Linked DNA regions of Schizosaccharomyces pombe. The protein of the gene in region 2 interacts with the protein of the main gene of each other region in a biochemical or structural test. Each region holds a gene or a part of one and is shown on either strand. Other genes may lie near its edges.

Region 1 (5,190 bases), on a different chromosome or scaffold from region 2:
TCTGTAAGTTTAAAGAACATTAATAGAAGGTTAAACGTACCGTTTCTCCATGTTTTGCGCATTGGTATCCGTCTACGTTCTGCACAATTTGGTACATTAACTAACCCTGCGTAAGCTATTAAAAGTGTGTCTGAAGTTAGGAGTTAAAGAAGTATCGGCTTTCACATTCTCCATTGAAAATTTTAAGCGATCTAAATATGAAGTTGATATGTTAATGGAGATTGCAAAAAACAGCTTAACGCAAATTACTGCTCATGGTGATTTGGTTGATCAGTATGGGATCCGTATTCGCATTGTTGGCGATCTTAGCAGGTTGCAACCTGACGTTTTAGAAACTGCTCTAAAGGCTGTGGAAATTACAAAACATAACACAAAGTATGTGAAATTTTTCAAATTTTTATTTTGCTAATTGACATCTTAGGGCAACATTAAATGTTTGCTTTCCATACACTTCTCGACATGAAATTGCTACTTCTGTGCAATCAATAGTAAAAATGGCAGAAGATGGTACAATCACTCCAGAAGATATAGATGAAGATATATTTGAAAAAAACCTATTGATAAAAGATAGTCTTCCTTTAGACTTGTTGATTCGCACTAGCGGTGTGGAGCGTCTATCTGATTTTATGTTATGGCAGGTAAGTAAAAATTCTCCTAATTTTCTAGTCAAAGATATTCAACTAATTTTATCAGTGTCACAAAAATACGGAGATAAAATTCATCGATTTCTACTGGCCGGATTTTTCTATCTGGAAGTTTTTCCCAATGTTAATTCAATACCAGTTACAAAACCAACCAGCATAATTTATTCAATCCTTCGTTACTTATTTACTTTTGATAGGCTTTGGCTGTTAATTTTACATTGTATACATTTAATATGTGTTAGTAGCTGATGTAAATAGTTAGACACTACTCTAATTATGTCTTCTTAAATATTGTTAAAATGAAACTTTCTACGGTCTTGATCCGGAAAAATTAATAACTTCCAAATATGCTTGATCATCACGCTGCACTGCAGCCACACAACGCATAGCATCAAAATCGACATGCCATATTTTTGTGAGGTCTGTTAATAGAAAACGTAACAGCTTTCCAGTCCTAACATCCCATAACTTTACAGAACCATCATTACCACTAATAATTTTGTGTTCATCTGACACAAAGCTACTAATGTAGCCTGAATTAGACGGCAAAACCATTAATGGTTTCCCAGTATTCAAATCCCATATTCTAATTGTGGAGTCAGCAGAACCTGATATCAACCTATTCTGGAATACATTAAGAAGCGTAACAAAGGCATCATGGCCTTCAAGCACATATTTACAAGTCCCTGTCGATAAATCCCAAACCCTAATGGACTTATCCATGCTACCGCTTATGCAAATATTCCTTTCTGGTTCATATAAAACACTATATATACGAAGACTATGACCCCGCAGATGGTAAAGACATTCCCCTGTTGAAACTCTCCAAATGCGAATTGAAGAATCATAACTCCCACTCACAAGTATATCACCATAGCCGGATATAGTTCGTACAGAGTCTGTATGTCCTATCAAAGTATGTACAAAATACGGGTTCTTCTCCCAACGGTCAATAGAGTTTGTATTATCTGGAAGATAAGGAGGATCCGTGTTTTTTGGAAGCTTCCAAACCCGAAGTGTATGATCCCGAGAGCCGCTGACAATGTACGGTTGATCTGGTTCAACAATTTCAACTCCATGGCGAATAAGACGACTCGGAACTAAGATCTCTAAGCATCTGATGATGGAAATATGTCCCCTAAATATGTGCGTACATTTAGCTTTCTCTATGTTCCAAACGCGAACAGTTTTATCGATCGAACCAGATACAAGTGTATTCTCATGTATTTTGACAGCCCAAACACCTTCTTTATGACCCTCTAATCGAGCTTCTAAAACACCGGTAATAGCATTATGAATTTGAATTGTTCCAGATCCCGAAGTGGTGATTATTCTGTCTTTATGAAGTAGTAAAGAAGTTATCATAAAGTTTGGAACATGAATGGGAAAAGATAGATGACTTGGAGGTATCGAAGGAAATAACCATCGTTTTCTATTGAGAAAATGTCTTTTGAAAATTTCCGGAAAATAGTCATCTGAGATTTGGTCGTTGTGCAAAAAAGGTGGACGATTTAAGTTTGGATTAGCATATTTCCAGTCATTTTCATTGATTTGAAAGCCAAATAAACTAAACATGTGTTTCCAGTATGAAGTATGCACATCAAGTATTCTATTCCAAGTAGGCGAAACAAGACGGCAAGAAAGAAAAGAATGTATATCCAGATTTAATAATATAGACTGAACAATGGAAAAAGGAAGATTTGAAAGTATATCTTTTTTTAGAAGCGGCTCGCATTCATTCAATAATAAACGCATCGATTGCCGATTGCACGAACGGAGTAGTTGAAAAAACGCATAAGATTGAATTCCTTCTGGAAGATCCTCAAAAGTTTGAACAATTGACTGTAAGTTTAAATCTTCAAGATCCTCAGAGATAGGTTTACTACCAGGTGAAACAGTGTTTGATGTGTCGACTTTCGGAGAAGGAGGGAAATTGTCGGAGTTAGATGAAATGCTATTATCTAACTTAATTCGATTGTTTCTATCAATTGATATAATTTTAGGTGGAAGAGAAGAATGAGAATATAGAAAATTCCTTTGAGGAACAAGGGAAATGGAAAAATCGCCAGGAACACTATCTGGCGGTGAGTGGTCTAAGCATTTATAAGAGACATTCTCTATACTTTCATTAAACTTTCGAAGAAAAGAAGGCGTACAAGAATGCTTTAATGGGTACTGATACGAATCAGTGCACGGCAGGGAAGAACTCGTATTGCCATTACAACTATTTGATTCTGAGCGAGGATCCGATGCAATTTGATCATCTTGAGGAAGCAGGTTATCCCCATGAATAAGTGAAGAAGGAAATACTTGAGGATCAAATGATTCTGGAGGTGTAGCAGGGCTGCTGCTATTTATTAAAGGAACAGAGGAATTTATACGGGAGGACGAATTGTCAGTTGGACACCTAGAGAGTGACATGCGTAGATGCAATGATTGTGATTTTTCGTTGAAATAAATAAGAAGTCAAAAATGAGCTTTAAGGAAAACAGTCGATAAAACAATCTGAAAATAAATTGGAAAAGAGACCAATGAAAAAGTTACTGACAGATTGGAAAGAAGAAACAACACCGTTATGGTTTGTTTCTACAGATTAATCAAAAACTGGCATATGCCGAAATTAGATACAGATTAAAAAGTGCGGGCATAAAGAGAAAATGAATAATGGAAAGGTTTTTTTATAAGTAATCTTTTAATTGAAAAAATAACAGAAGCTCAATATGCGTTGTTCATACCATACAGAATCTTTGTGTGTGGTAGGAGGCAAGTTCTGGCGGAGAATTTGTAAACAAAAGTTCGTACAATGCGAATGCAAAACTTGTAATAAAAAGATACATGAATTGATACTTTTTAAGTAAATAAATATAAAGCGGTACCTAAAACAGGAAACATGGATTAAGAAAATTGAGTAGAAGTTATATGATACAGATTAGCGTAAGCAGCGTTTTCAAACAAAATATATGCATTTTTTATTTTTCTGAGCTAGAATTTGATGTTCGTTGATAAATAAAATAAGTTTTATGGAAGTTAATACGAAAACTGATTGTAAATCCCATTGCTGGTATATTGTTAGCAAAAAAAACCATAATGGCCTAAGTATCAGTTTCATAAATTCAAAAACAACTAAAAATTTGGGTTCGAATGAAAAACATACTTGATTTACGTCTGCTACGGAAGCTATACTCATCTTGTAATTCCACGCCTCTCATACAGCTACCGAAAATTGCTACTACTTTTTGACCTGAACATAAACCGTGTTTTAAAAAGTTTGGTTTTTATTAATGTTTTTTTTATCTTTTTTGTTTTCTCACATTATTTGAATAATTAATGAAATGGATTCTCACACAACAGAAAAGCGTAGAGGTTCTTACCTGCGCGTCCTGTTTAAGAATGGACGTTTACCAGTAGAAGGATTTCTTTGGAACTGTGATCCCTTGACTGGAACATTAATTTTGATTCAACCTCTTACTCCCAATACAGACGAGGTTGAAGATACTCATTATCGTTTTTATGGTATAATGTCGGATGCTATTCAGACCATTGAACCCGACGAAAGTATGTCTCCTCTTAATCAACAATCGCTAGCAGAATATGATTCTCTATTAACTTCATGATGCGAATTGCATTCAGCGTTTGAAATATATGATTTGAATCTACAATTCTGATGGATAATTCGCTTCTTTTGCGAGGGAAATGTTTTCCTTCCTTTATCGTAAATTAACTATATAAAATATTGTTATACTGAATTGACTTCGACGAATCACTTCAACGCCTTTTTTGCAACCTGAGCGGAGCGGAGTGATATCATCGGACTACAGTAACTGGTATATAGTTGCTACATTCTTTACTTCTCCCAATACCAACATCGTTCTCTTCAAAATGGCTTTTAACTACTCAATTGCCAATACCGTTGATGATGCTGCTCAAAGCATTGCTGAAAATACGAGTTCTTTAGCCACGTTTTCAAAACCGCCTTTGGTCATTGCTCATAGAGGGTATGTTTTATGAATGTATTAGTTGCATACTGCTTTTATTATTAGTAGACTTAGTTTCATATCTGCAACTTTGTACCCTTAATTGTCAAAATCCTTCTCCAATTTAGCAAATGTTTAACTTATGTTTACAGATACAAAGCTAAGTATCCTGAAAATACTATACTAGCATTTCAACAAGCCGTAAAGGCTGGTGCTGACTGCGTTGAAACAGATGTTCGACTAACTAAAGATGAAGTGGTTTGCATTTTGCATGATAGAAATCTTAACAGAGTATTCGGTGTTGATGTTGATGTTCGAGATCTTGATTATGAATTGGATAATGGTCATTTTCGTACCATTCAAGAGCCTCACGAGCCGTTACCTACCTATGAACAATTTTTGCATGAATTAACCAAGCATCCTGGCGTCAATCTACTTGTTGACATTAAGCCAGTAAACGATTTGTTAATTATTCCCAGAATGGTTGATGCAATGCTTCGGGTTAATTCTGATTTAGACTTTTGGAAAGACAAAGTATCGTTTTGTTTATGGTCACATAGGTTCATCCCTGC
Region 2 (7,156 bases):
TTTAAACAATTTAATTCAGTGTCACGGTTAACAACTAATAATCTCACCTTCTCATTTCTACCTACAGAAAAGAATTATTTTCTTTCATTCATACTTATAAATTCATCTTTTCACTAACATGTTTAGGGTATGTGCATAGACCGTGTATATCTAAGGAGAACGCAACCACAGTAAACTAAGTCCTGCTAGTCACAGGTTTAAGTATTATAAAGTATTGGAAAGCGCCAGCATTTTAATTACTAATTTTGTTGTATTATTTTCCTTATTTATTAGATACTATGAGGAAAGAGTATCTCGTTAGCCATATAGAAGAAAATGCACATCAAGCAGACATTTACTCTCTCAATGTAGTCGCAGGCAATCTTTGGTCGGCTTCTGGGGATTCCAAAATAAAAAAATGGTCTATAGGTGATGCTGAGCATAGCTTAGTTGAAGAAATAGATACCCCTCATAAACTTGGCGTTCATCATCTAGCAACTAGCTTGGATGAAAACGTCGTCGTTTCTTGCGGATTTGGACAGGATGTTTATGTTTGGAATCCTGAAACTAATGAATTTCGAGACTTGGGTACGAATTACTTTACGAAGAAGCTATGCATTTCTCTAACGAATATGATTTAGGTAATAATGCTCAACATCCCAGCGAATGCTGGTCTTCTTGCATTAGCCCTGATGGACAAACGATTGCTTTCACATCTGTAGACGGGCGTATTGCTGTCTGGGACAATCCAAGTGATTGCAAAATTTCCGAGTTAGATACCAAAGGTAAATTCGGTCTTTGTATAGACTATTCTCCCAATGGAAGATTTATCGTTTCTGGTCATCAAACTGGGCAGCTTTTCCTTATAAGTACAGAAACAGGACGCTTGTTTCATGTACTATCGGGCCACACTTCCCCTGTACGATCAGTGGCGTTCTCTCCTGGTTCAACACTTTTAGCTGCTGCCGGGGATTCTAAAATGATTACTATCTACGACGTTTTATCAGGGGATCAAGTCGGCCAACTTCGTGGTCATGCTGCATGGATTTTTGCAGTAGCTTTCAATCCCGTAGGTGATTTGTTGCTTTCGGCTGATGTTGAAGGAAAAATCAAAATCTGGGATATTGACACCATGGAATGTATTAGTACACAAAGTGAAACGGATGGAGCTATTTGGGCTGTGGCATGGTATAAAAATGGGTTCATCGTCGCAGGTGCTGATAAAAGTATTCGTTGGTATAGAGCTGCTGCTACAGAATAATTGCACTCTTGTGCTTTCTTAATGACCGATGGAAAAGTTTTTAAAAAATAGCAAAAAATTAAGGAGTTTCTAATATTTGGATTAATTATGAATATCAACACTTTACTCGTAAAACGAAAGGATCTTGAAATGGATTATTTTAGGGTAACGCATTTTTCTTTTCACTTTCATCATTACAAGTATGTTTGTATCATTGTTTACTTTCGTTCGATACGCTTTTACTTTTTATATAAATTATCTAAGCATAAATTCCTAAGGAAATACGAATCTCATTCAAAGTTTCCATTGTATTTAAAACATGAGTTGACTCATAATATCTATAAAAGTTTATTTTTTATTTTATAGGTAATGGTTAGCTTAGTTTCTTATGTGTTTTAACTGTATTACATTACGTGCCTAGAAAGTTTACTCTCACATACGATAACGACGCAAACCGTTTAAAACCATGCACATACTGCATATGTTATAATCTTTACTTTGAAGACTTTTTGTAATTCAAGATTACTTTTTGTTGATAAATTTTCACACTAATGGCAGAAAATAATAAAAAGTCTACTGCTTACATCCAGAGGATGCGAACACTAAAATTTTATCAAAAAATGGCTTCTGCGCGAATCCCGATCACTGTGTACCTCCACGATCAACGAGAAGTAAAAGCAGAATTTGGAGCGATAGACAGTAGTGAGTCAAAGTTGGCAGTTTCCAATCTACAAACCGATTGGGGCGTTATTAACAGAGCGGTGATACGAACAGGAGACGTCGTGGGCATCGAATACAATTTGGTGCAGGAAGAAGGAGAACTTTGATGATACATTACGATTTTCAGATACAGAAGCCTTAACAGCCATGGTATTCAATTCAGTGTTTACAGATGAGAAAGCGTGATGTACATAGTATGCATAGTTGTATAGAAGCGCAACATAATTAATGTTATTTATTTAGGAGGAATATTAAAAATAATATCGTAATATTGTATATTTTGCTGGATTAAAGCAAATAACTTTTGCGTCAAACGGATGGTAAATCGTGAAGTTCATTAAACTTCCAAAGGATCAGAAGAATTAGTGTGCCACTGAAATTAAAAGCGGGAAGAAATGATCGCTTACACTGCAAATTTGTTCCAGTATTTTTTTAAAGGACACTCTCGATATCGTTTTCGAGATGTTCAGGCTTGCTAATACTGGAATAGCGTTCGATGACTTGACCTTGACGATTGACCAAGAACTTTTCAAAATTCCACTTAATACGCTCAAGGCCAAGTTGCTTCTTTTGGCTCTTCAAGAATTGATAAACAGGGTCGACGTTGTCGCCATTAACATTGATCTTGGCCAGTACAGGGAAGGTTACGCCATAGTTCTTTTGGCAAAATTGAGCGATTTCTTCGTCAGAACCGGGTTCTTGGTTTCCAAATTGATTGCAAGGGAATCCAAGGATGATAAATCCTCTATCCTTGTATTTCTGATACAACGCCTCAAGACCTTTGTATTGAGGAGTGAATCCACATTTGCTCGCTGTATTGACAACAAGGACCACTTTACCCTTCAAGTTGCTGAAAGGAAAAGGATTTCCATCCTTGTCCTTAGGAGCCAAGTCGTAGAAATGAGACATTTTAACTTACAAAACTCAATACTAATAGAATGAGTAGGTTGAAAGTAAGGTGTAGCGCGGCTGACCGTCCTACTTATGTTTCCAGCTGACCTTATTTCATAATGACATCAGACCTTAGTTTGGGTCAACACGATCTTTTAACAAGAGAAATTTACGTAAAATTAATAAAAATTCCAAGGAAGAAAAGTCGGATCGCATTTATCAAAAGAAATCTTATTTATTTAATCAGTCTCACATTCTTTTTCCTTTGTTTGCTGCTTTTAAAGTTAAAAAAAGGATATGTCGCAGTATACTGCCATTGTCTTTTGTCAACATACCACCAAAATGACAGAAATTTTTGCTGCTATTTAGTAAAAATATTTCAAATTTCGTATTTGTAAAGGTTATGCATAGAATGGCTGAGACTCATACTTAAACAGTATAGGTATCTAAACATTGTATGGGGCGATTGTAGCAGCAAACGATTAAGTAGTTTGCGTTAGTTACAACACCTAGTAATGGTTTGCTACCTTTTGTTTAAAATAATAGTAGACGAGATTGCCAATGGCCGATGTTGTTTATCTTAAAGTTGAAAGTGAAGCGAAACCTTTTTCTAACTTTAAGAGTGGGATTTCTTCCATCCAAAAGAATATGCACTGCAACAAGATATAGGACACAGGCAAATTATTTGACAAAAACAAGGAACCGTATAACTACTTTTTTACTTTAATCTACAAATAAATTAGTAGGATGTAGAAAAAGGTATCAGTGATAGATTATTTATGTATTATCTTAAAAGTATTGTTTTTTGCCCTTTGAAGGGCAAAAAGCAAAAAGGATCAAAATTATGCTCCAGCAGTGACTTGAACACTGGGCCTCTTGCTTACTAGGCAAGCGCTCTACCACTGAGCTACAAGAGCTAGTTGGAATCATTTGCTAAAAGGTATATATATATGCATAACTATTAAGAAATGCTCAGTATTTTTTTGAAATAGAAAATGTTGATATTCGGTTTCTATTATTAAGTTTTAAATTCCAAACATTGTAAATATGTCGTCGTTCTTTACATTCTTTTTTTAATAAATCTTGGTTTAAGTTAAAACCCAATTTTACAAGCTCGCAACTTTGTTGTTAATAAAAAAAAATGTTACACCTGCTAAATAAATATTAAAATCAAACTGTTGTTGTGTGGTATTACCTTATTGAGCTTAATTATAATTTCAGTAAAAATTTATGTTCAATTTTTTTTTTTACTTTCAATTAATTTATTTATTTATTAATTTGTAAAATATTTAGACCTTTGCCAAATAATTATTTGTTAATTTTTCATTTTCTACAATCTGTATTAATTAAGATAAAATTGTCTTCAAAAATACTTTTAGTTTTTGGAAAATCATTTGTTTCAGTGTTTGAGTATCCACATGAATTGTCTAATTTTATATCACTATTATTTTTTTATTCGAACACTCATAAATTGTGTCTATTGTGTTACTTTCAATTTTAATATTTACATTCAAAGTTGCATATATTTTTTACGAAATAATGTACTAAATGATTTAGAAATATTTAGATACGATAGTAATCAATACTAAATTTTATGACACATTCTAAATTCACTTACTTTGGCTTTCTAATTTCCTGTTAGAAAAATTGTCATTCCTAATTGAATTTTGCAGCAATGCTCGAATCAGCTCCAAGGTTGATAAATTTATAGTCAAGAAATATGTAATTATTTATAATAATCTAGTCTAGTTGACCTGGAAAATGTTTGCTTTTCTTACTACCAACCTTCTCTTATCGACCTACAGTTCACCCAAGCACAGCGAAATACCTCAAGATACCCTTCTTTTGAAAACCACCTATTTCAGCAAAAAATCTTTCGCGGTTGTACTTTTAAGTAAGAAGCAAACATCAAAGATTGTTTGCTCCTTCATTGTTTAATCATGGGCAGAGAAATCATTACGTTACAAGCTGGTCAATGTGGTAATCAAAGTATGTTCACCTATACTACTATTAATCAAATCGAAATTCTAATTACTCACAAACTTGTCTAGTTGGTTCACAATTCTGGCAACAGTTGTGTTTGGAACATGGCATTGGGCCTGATGGCACGCTAGAAAGTTTCGCAACTGAGGGTGTTGATCGAAAAGACGTTTTTTTCTACCAGGTTGGTTTATTGATACACTTTAAAGTTTCAACATGTTAACTCATTTTAGTCTGATGATACTAGATACATTCCTAGAGCCATTTTGATTGATCTGGAACCAAGAGTATGTTATCGCATCCTTTTATTAGTATTTGCTGAAATATTCAAGTGACTAATGTCCTCTTTACCTTAGGTGGTCAACAATATTCTAAGCGACACCTACGGCAGCCTTTATAATCCCGAAAATATACTTATTACCAAAAATGGAGGAGGTGCTGGCAATAATTGGGCTAATGGTTATTCGCATGCTGAGAGGATTTTTGAAGATATAATGGACATGATAGATCGTGAAGCTGATGGAAGTGATTCTCTAGAGGGTTTCTCGCTTTTACATTCTATCGCTGGTGGAACGGGTTCTGGGCTGGGCTCTTTCTTGCTTGAGAGATTAAACGATCGTTATCCCAAGAAGATTATCCAAACTTATTCAGTATTCCCTAATAGTCAATCCGTATCAGATGTTGTGGTTCAGCCTTACAACAGTCTTCTTGCATTGAAGCGACTGACATTGAATGCTGATTCTGTTGTTGTGTTGGACAATGCAGCACTTGCTCATATTGCTGCTGATCGGTTACATACTCAGAACCCTACGTTTCATCAACAAAACCAATTGGTAATTGATTTATATTAGGTCTTTTCATCAACTAACTATTCTAGGTTTCAACTGTTATGTCTGCCAGTACAACAACTTTAAGATATCCTGGCTACATGAACAACGATCTTGTCAGTATAATAGCTTCATTAATTCCAAGTCCTCGCTGTCACTTTTTACTAACCTCATACACTCCTTTTACCAATCAGCAAGTGGAAGAAGCAAAGGCCATTCGGAAAACTACCGTGCTTGATGTGATGAGAAGGTTGTTGTTGCCTAAAAACCAGATGGTTTCCGTCAATCCTAGCAAAAAGAGTTGCTTTATTAGTATTTTGGATATCATTCAAGGAGAAGCAGATCCGGCGGACGTTCACAAATCCTTGCTTCGCATAAGAGAACGACGATACGCTTCATTCATTCCTTGGGGACCAGCAAGTATACAAGTTGCACTTTCTAAAAAGTCGCCCTATATAAAAACGAACCACCGTGTTAGTGGACTTATGCTTGCAAATCACACTAGTATTGCCTCTGTATGTTTCTGCAAATTTTTTTTTGAGACATTTAATACTAATCTTTGTAGTTATTCAAGAGAACACTAGATCAATATGATCGTTTGCGGAAACGAAATGCCTTTTTAGAGCAATATAAAAAGGAGGCTATTTTCGAAGATGATCTTAACGAATTCGATTCTTCTCGGTAAGTATCTTGTCTTATAATTTCATATTTTGAGTTAATTTACTAATGTATTTGACAGCGACGTCGTTGCCGACTTGATCAATGAATACGAAGCTTGTGAAGATCCCAATTATTTATCTCTTTAAAAAATCCTTCATAGTTTACGATGTCAAAGCAGACTTAAAATATAAAATTAATTCTCCTATCCTAGTCCTACTTCATAATCTATGAAATTCTGCTCAGCAAAGCATTTTTACGCCTTTCTAAAAGAATGGCTTCAACATCGTCTCTAGTTGGTATTTGCTCAATGACAAGAGGTTTCCAATCTTGTTCAACTTCATCACCAAGGTTCTCAAGATGTTTATGTTGTTGTTCTTCAATCTTTGCCTCAAAATCTTCTAATAGACTCTCTTGTGCTGGCGGTATGTAACCAAAGTACCAGGCGTCTAACCTTCTTTTCTGCATCTCCTGTTTGCGCTGTCTTTCCGGTATAAAACTCATATCAGCTTCAAAAAGTTCCTTAACGCCAGGTAACTCTCGAGCTCTTCCGTAATAACGATAATCGTCTATATCACTGATTTGTTCTCCTTCATCCTCAAATAGCTTTGCTTTATTATACAGATAATTAATCCCACCCAGATCACGAATTTGTACCTCCCATTCGTGTTTTTCACGCATCAATCGATTAATTGCATCGTTCAAATCTCGAATTTGATATTCAGGCAACGTTGCTATTCATGGTTAGAATACACAGAAATGATAAAAGCGGAATCAAGTTTAGCAAGTTAATTAAATTTGCTAATAAAACAATCTAGGACGTACCACTTTGAATTCGAGAGATCTTGCGAGAGATATCTTT
Region 3 (6,981 bases), on a different chromosome or scaffold from region 2:
TTAACTAATGGTATTTGTAACATGGTAGTGGCTACGGAAAGTTCATTATAGGAAATGAATCTATGCGTCTAATGAAACGTTCTTTGATGAATTTGTTTTTTTACGAGGATTTTGTTAAATGATAGCGAATGCGTTATGAAAAAATTATCAAAAAAATTTTATTTATTTAAAACACCATGTATCCAAAGAAACCAAAATAACGTGAAGGTAGTTTGAGATGCTCACTCTTGAAGCTAGATTAACATCCAGTAACCAATGGTAAGGTATTAGTTGTAAATTTGTAATCCAAACATGGATGCAACTAAAATTACCAATAAACGCTGCTAATGATAATATAGCAGAATAAATGAGAATGAGACATATAAAAATCTGTTTAAATAAAGAGCATGCGCTACGAATATGGAACAAAAGCAAAAGTGCTGACTAACTTAGCATTCGTAAATGTGTCTCTAGTTTAGTCCGCCATGACAACGTTACTATTGTCAGCAAGCTTGGAAGCTACACTCTGTTTTGGCTGTCCAATATTCACCGCAGCTTCTGCTTCTTCTTGTGTATACGGCTCTTCACGCAAATTTTTTAACCTTCGTTTGTGAACCTTTCCCTTCTTATGCACCAGCAATGCTTGAGACGAGTCAAAGTACCGTGCACATTCAATGCAATAATGTTGACCTAAACCTGGCAAATCCGGATCTATAGGTAATTTATCAAATTTCTCAGACTCTGTTAAGTCATTGTGAATCTGATCTAAGTCTCTATTTGTCCAATTGTTAATTTACCAAACGATGATTGAATGACCATGAAATTTGCATACCTCCCATAAACACGAGTTCTAAACAAAGCATGATTTCCATTGCTATGATGCTTTCTTTTTCTGGCAACTCTTCCCATTGTCCGTCACTTCAAACAAACCCGTTTACCACAATTACAATGTTAGTTGCAAAGGATAAACTTTTTTAAGCGTAAACACATTCAATATCCAAACGGCGTAATGTGTGCTATATCGTATAGTGAAAAATAATTCTCAAATAATCTTATTTTCCTATCGTAGTTTGCGATAAGTTTAATAACGAGAAGGAAAGCCTCGTTATATAGTTGAAAAGCAAGAGAAATGTATTAGATATGTATTATTGATTGTTCTGAATAGCTCAAGTAGCGTAAATTTTTTAATAAATAAATATTCGTTCAAAATTTGGGAGAGCATGGTCAAAGCAAGTTGAAATGCATGCCTTTGAAATTGCGCTTTTTAAGCGACGATTGCTCCATCGTTTGACAAAACTTTGTAATTTAAGGGATGTTTAGCATCGGAATTTATTAGGGAAAATTGCTTTAGGCGTGATTCTTAGTACATGGCAACTATAGAAGAAATGAATTAACATTCAGTAGCTTTCTGGCTTTAACTGCCACTATTTCATCAAAGTCTCGACAAGTTGACGTTTAGTCGAAGGAAAGAAAGTATTCACGTAGCGAGATCAGAGTCCGCTTATCAGCAAGGAAAAAATTGAGCTCTCCATTTAGACTGCTATACTGAAGTGTGAGCAATTTTAGTGACATTTAGTTTTACAAAAGGAGCTTGATTGCTCGAACTCAAAAGATTCAATTAACCACGAAGGGGTTCTTGGCAGTGAGGTTGTAATTATTTCTTTTTTATTTTATCTTTATTTGACTTTTGTTTTTTCCCAAAGAATAATTGCAATGTTCAATTAGTTTTGAATTTGAAAAACCTCATATGGGTAAAAAATCACTCGGTCGAAAAAGACAGTAAAAATTTATTAGTTAATTTCGTAAGATGGGGCGCGAATTAAAGAAAGTTGCTAGTTATCATGTAATAACATAATTGAAACCCTCGATTCGACAAGTATGCAGACAGCAAAACGAATGCACGTACTAAACAAATAGTAAGCCATTTTTTGTAAAATGAAAATGTGAATCAATAAACAAATAACTTTGCCTATCTCAATTCAAACGTGTTTTTTTAAAATATATCTATCGATTTGTAATAGGCAAATTGTTTATTGCAGCTATCTCCAAGCTTGCTTAATCACATGTTCAAAGATGCAAAGCCCAGCATATCCGTGTAGCATATGTTTTCATTCAAAAAAGTAATAATATCCTAAAAACATATTTAAAACAAGCTATCAATTTTAATTTTTTCCCTATAAACAAACGTATGCTATATGAACATGTGTACCTAAATTTTTTTCGACCAAGATTTATAGACTCTATGTTTGAAAGAGATCTTTTTGTCCATATCGATAAACTAAGACTGCTTGAAGGGCAGATGCTGACATCTGCAGAGCAGGAAAAGAAGTATGCGTACTTCGTAAAGACTTGAGTACTGAACGTAGGGTCGATATATCTTCTCCATTCAAAAGCTCAGGAAGTTTATAACAAAAGCAAAAAATCCATTGACTCTAGAAAAATGTTAGCAAATTTTAGAATGAACAAAAATACACCAGCAAAGTAGCATGAGATCCTTGTTACCAACCTGTAAATCAATTGCGTCCTTTTCAAGCCAGCTGGACAAGCTTTCTAGGATCTCCAAAACAGTTGCCAAATCAACCACTGCTAATATGGCCCAACAAGGAGCTTTATGCTCAATATATACACGCCATTGTTGTAAATTTTTAGGTAAAATAGATGCGTCCAATGAAGAAGATTCCATATATTGCTCAAGCCTTTCCCCTTCTTTATCAATTATGTTTAGTAAGTATCGTAAAAACGGGTCAAAGCTTTTTTTGCCGGCCTCGATTTCCAATTTGCGAAGAGGAATGGTTTCTCTTGTTTCAGGCTCACGACGCGCCGCTACAAATGGAACTAGCTTGCGAGCTTCTTCTCTGAACTTGTCAGTAAAAAGCCCAATTATTGTTACAATGATTAGATTAAAGCATTCATGTTGCAAATTTCGATTTTCACAAAAATTCATATATAAATGTTCGTACCTCACAGTTGCTAAATAATCTAAACCATCAAGTGGTATATCATATTCCAAAGATTCTGAAGCACTATTGTTGTCGATTTGTGGAAAAGCGCTGCGTTGATTTGTTTCCTCATCTAATGATCCTGAAGTCTGATATTGTAAAGGATTTCTTTTTCTTTTCGAGGGCATTTTGAATTATTATTGTACAATTGCAAACTTCTCATATAAACCAAATGGAAAAGAATTACCGAATTTTCATGAAAATACTCAAGGAATGTAGGCTGTTTTTTTCCGGCAACTTTTCGTTTGTAGTTAGTTAACAAGGAATGTTTCGTAAATCGAAGATTACCCTAGTATAATAGAATGGTAAGGTTAAAGAGGTATCTGTAGAACTATCAATGTGAAGAGTCTATCTTGATCAAGTGTAATGCTAAAACTAATTTTAGCTATTTCTTGATAATTCCTTTACTATCATAAAATTTATTACTTGTTCTTATTTTCAAAGAAGTTCAAAGTTTTGCATTTTTTTGAAGTGTATAAGAAGCTAAAACTGGGAGAATATTCACTCAGACAGAATTGCCTATCCTTGAACTAATTTAATAAACATAAAACATATAGATATGTAGGAAATTGTACTATTCATTCTTCTGTCAACGCAAGTAACACCATCTGCGGCCACTTAATCAGGCACTTACTCTACACAATATACAGATCAGTGCTTTATCCCCAAATCCCATTGTTCATTGGTGAATTGGTGTTTTGAGCAGCACATATGCCCATTCTAACATGCAGATATAAAATTCTGTTTCTTTATAATTTACGGAATTGCTTTACTTTTCAAAATCAGCGATGTCTCATACCATATGGAACAACCACTACCATTAGGTGGTATAATGCAAATTTTCAAGCTGTTCAAAACAACTTTTCTGATTATAAAAACGAATTGATCTCTTCACATCGTCCAGAAGCTTCCAGTTTACTCGACTTTTTGGTAAAGGATCAAAAGAAAAGTGGTGATATTAGTTTGCATACAAAATTTAATCTATATGTGGACGATTTATTGAAAAAGAGCGAAAAAGGACAAATTAAAAAATTTATTAATGATATTAAAAAAGATTTGGCTACGGAATCTCAGCTTCCATTGTCTGCGCCATTCAAAGATGAATCTACTCGGACTATGACAGATCCCCAAGTTTTAGCTTATATTCATCAGTCTATGCCGTATCAATATGCTTCTCTATACAGCGTATTGACTGACTTGAAAATTGTAAACAGTGATGTGTCTTGCAAGTCTCAACATATACTGGATTGCGGTAAAGGTCCAGGTATTGGTGCTCTAGCTAGTTATTCAGTCTTTCCCACACCTAATTCAGTTTCAATTGTTGAGGAGAACCCATTTTTGAAAAAAATCATATATGATATTCACCATAACATTTACCCGTCAACTTCGCCGAATCCAACTAGCCCTGTTACGCTTAACCGTCTACCATTGGGTAAAAAGGATTCATACACTCTAGTTATTGCATCTAACAAGCTTCTTGAAATGAAATCGGAGAAAGAACTCTTTGATTATCTTCGTTCGCTTTGGAGTCTCGTGTCAAATGATGGTGGTCTTTTGGTGCTCTGCGAGCGAGGCACAAAGCGTGGCTTTAGTTTGATTCAAAGAGCTAGAACATTTCTATTGCAAAAAAGTAAAAATACTTCTGATAAACAATTCAATGCCCATATTGTAGCACCCTGTCCCCACGATGGTCGCTGCCCCATTGATATAGAAAATGGGGTAAGAGCAAATATTTGTTCTTTCAAACAACATTTTTTCCTATCCCCATTTTCCCGTCTATATGTCCCTCGTTCTCATCGTCGATCCTCGGATCGCTCTCATTACAGTTATGTTGTTATTCAAAAGGGTATAACTAGACCGCTTAATAATACCACACAAAGGTTCAAGAATGATGAGGATTTACTAGAAAATGTGAATGTTACATCTCCAACTCTTAAAAACTGGCCACGTATAATTCGACCTCCACTGAAGCGAGATGGACATGTCATAATTGATGTCTGTGATAGCGATGCTCGGCTTAGAAGGAATATTGTTCCTAAATCACAAGGTAAACTAGCTTATCGATTAGCTAGGAAAAGTGCTTGGGGCGACTTGTTTCCGTTAGAGGGCAAAGTTCAAAGTACTTCTCCAAGTAGTAAAATTACTAAACATTTAAAAGATGCTTCTTCTACCTATTCAATCAATCCCCCCTCATATAATAAACCCAAAGTTGAAAGAAATACAACTGCAGATCCTATTTTTGTCGGAAAACGATTCTATTCGACTAATCGTCATAAAGCTTTTTCTCGATTTGCAGACTTTAATTCACATCGTTTCCCTTGTATTTTTACTTCATTTAGCTGTTACAATTGCATCTCTGGTACCAGGAATATTTCACGACAATATTCGAGAGATAAATTCCACTATAATCAAAGGACCACTATCTATTATCTGGTTGCAATTTCCATTTTTGCGTTGGGCTTGACATATGCGGCTGTACCTTTATATCGTCTTTTCTGTTCGAAAACAGGTTATGGTGGCACTCTTAATACCGACCAAAGTCGTATGAATGCAGAAAGAATGGTTCCTCGTAAAGACAATAAAAGAATCAGAGTTACTTTCAATGGCGACGTTGCAGGAAACCTTAGCTGGAAGCTTTGGCCCCAGCAGCGTGAAATATATGTTCTTCCAGGCGAGACTGCTCTAGGGTTTTATACTGCTGAAAATACGTCCGACCATGACATAGTAGGAGTTGCAACTTATAATATAGTACCAGGTCAAGCCGCTGTTTACTTCTCAAAGGTTGCATGCTTTTGCTTTGAAGAGCAAAAGCTAGATGCTCATGAAAAAGTAGACTTGCCTGTGTTTTTCTTTATAGATCCAGAATTTGCTGATGATCCAAATATGAAGGATATTGACGATATTCTTCTAAGCTATACTTTTTTTGAGGCCAGATATGATACCAATGGCAATCTTTTAACTAAACTCAACTGAAATAAAAATTAAGGGACTACATATTGAGTGAACTACAATAATTTATTTAAAATAATTCATCAAGTTAACCTTCTAGTTACGAGACAAATAACAACGAAAATCACTACAAACTTACTAGAATAACTTTCTCCGAGGTTGCAATTCGACATTAAAACTATTGTATTCTCGTAAAAAAAGTTGAAGGCCTTTGAACCAATAGTATATTATTTAAATGACAAAGTCATGAAAGTAACGAAATGAAATAGAGACGGAACAATTTATTTGGCTACCGCCTGTTGAATAGAATTCATCATTTCTTCTTTTATAATAAGCTGTCTTACCTTTTCCAATTTTCCAAGAAGTTCAGTAATATTGGAACCCCACTCATTCAATTGCTCTTGCACATTTTGAGATTTCTTGAATGAAATGACTTGAGCTGGGCGATCAATCTTGGCATAGAAATGATGCTTTGCAATAAGGTCGCAAAGAAATTGTTCTGTTTCGGAAGGACTCATATCCAACAACACTCCTAGACGACTGCAATGAATGCGGGAATAATAGTTTGCGACTACACGAATATTGTGTTCGATGACTCGCTTACGAAGTTCAGACCAACGTTTCTCACCTTTTTCGTCATTTTCAGCAAAAACAGGATTACTCCTTAAAGCACTTCCATAGATTTCGGCAATTTTGGGCCATCTCATTAGTTCATTGACAATAAAGCACTTAACCAATTGTTGGAGTAAAGGAAGAGAATTTAGTTTATGGTCAGCATTAATTCGGTGAAGAAGATCTGCCTGCTCGTTATCATAAGGAGTAAGCAAGGCAAAGCAAACGACATTTTCTAATATTTCTTTCCATTTCTCGGGGTCCTCTTGAACCACGGCGGTGTCATAAACTGCTCGATAATATTTACAAACATCAAGATATGCATCGTCGTGCAAACCAATTCGGATTTTTTGCTCATAATACTTAAGTTTTAAAGACTGGACGTCTTCCTTTTCAAAAAACTTAACATTTATTTTCTTCGTGTAAGTAGATGCCATGTAGT

The links. The genes of interacting proteins can lie anywhere in the genome.
Region 1: the proteins of gem7 (region 2) and gem6 form a complex in vitro, tested with the Schizosaccharomyces pombe proteins (one study listed by BioGRID).
Region 3: the proteins of gem7 (region 2) and yip11 form a complex in vitro, tested with the Schizosaccharomyces pombe proteins (one study listed by BioGRID).

The regions. Positions count from the first base shown.
Region 1 is NC_003424.3:5,353,006-5,358,195, reverse strand, and holds gem6 (SMN complex subunit Gem6), read left to right. Parts: upstream 1-3,882; 5' UTR 3,883-3,976; coding exon 3,977-4,258; downstream 4,259-5,190. Other genes in the region: rer2 (cis-prenyltransferase), read left to right, coding at 1-3, 116-375, 422-638, 694-804; F-box/WD repeat protein Pop2, read right to left, coding at 954-3,065; pgc1 (glycerophosphoryl diester phosphodiesterase), read left to right, coding at 4,524-4,639, 4,771-5,190.
Region 2 is NC_003423.3:2,786,700-2,793,855, forward strand, and holds gem7 (protein Gem7), read left to right. Parts: upstream 1-1,770; coding exon 1,771-2,046; 3' UTR 2,047-2,188; downstream 2,189-7,156. Other genes in the region: rec14 (Ski complex WD repeat subunit Ski8), read left to right, coding at 279-567, 621-1,240; H2O2 scavenger glutathione peroxidase Gpx1, read right to left, coding at 2,372-2,848; gamma-tubulin Gtb1, read left to right, coding at 4,771-4,819, 4,882-4,994, 5,044-5,097, 5,167-5,643, 5,688-6,152, 6,203-6,318, 6,377-6,443; protein Cwf12, read right to left, coding at 6,523-7,028, 7,120-7,156.
Region 3 is NC_003424.3:4,903,289-4,910,269, forward strand, and holds yip11 (SMN complex subunit Yip11/Gem2), read right to left. Parts: upstream 3,107-6,981; coding exon 2,940-3,106; exon of another isoform or gene 2,835-2,939; coding exon 2,486-2,834; exon of another isoform or gene 2,412-2,485; coding exon 2,220-2,411; 3' UTR 933-2,219; downstream 1-932. Other genes in the region: bud20 (zinc finger ribosome biogenesis protein), read right to left, coding at 455-752, 812-888; rsm22-cox11 tandem protein cox1102, read left to right, coding at 3,690-5,951; 19S proteasome regulatory subunit Rpn502, read right to left, coding at 6,209-6,981. UniProt on the Schizosaccharomyces pombe protein: The SMN complex catalyzes the assembly of small nuclear ribonucleoproteins (snRNPs), the building blocks of the spliceosome, and thereby plays an important role in the splicing of cellular pre-mRNAs.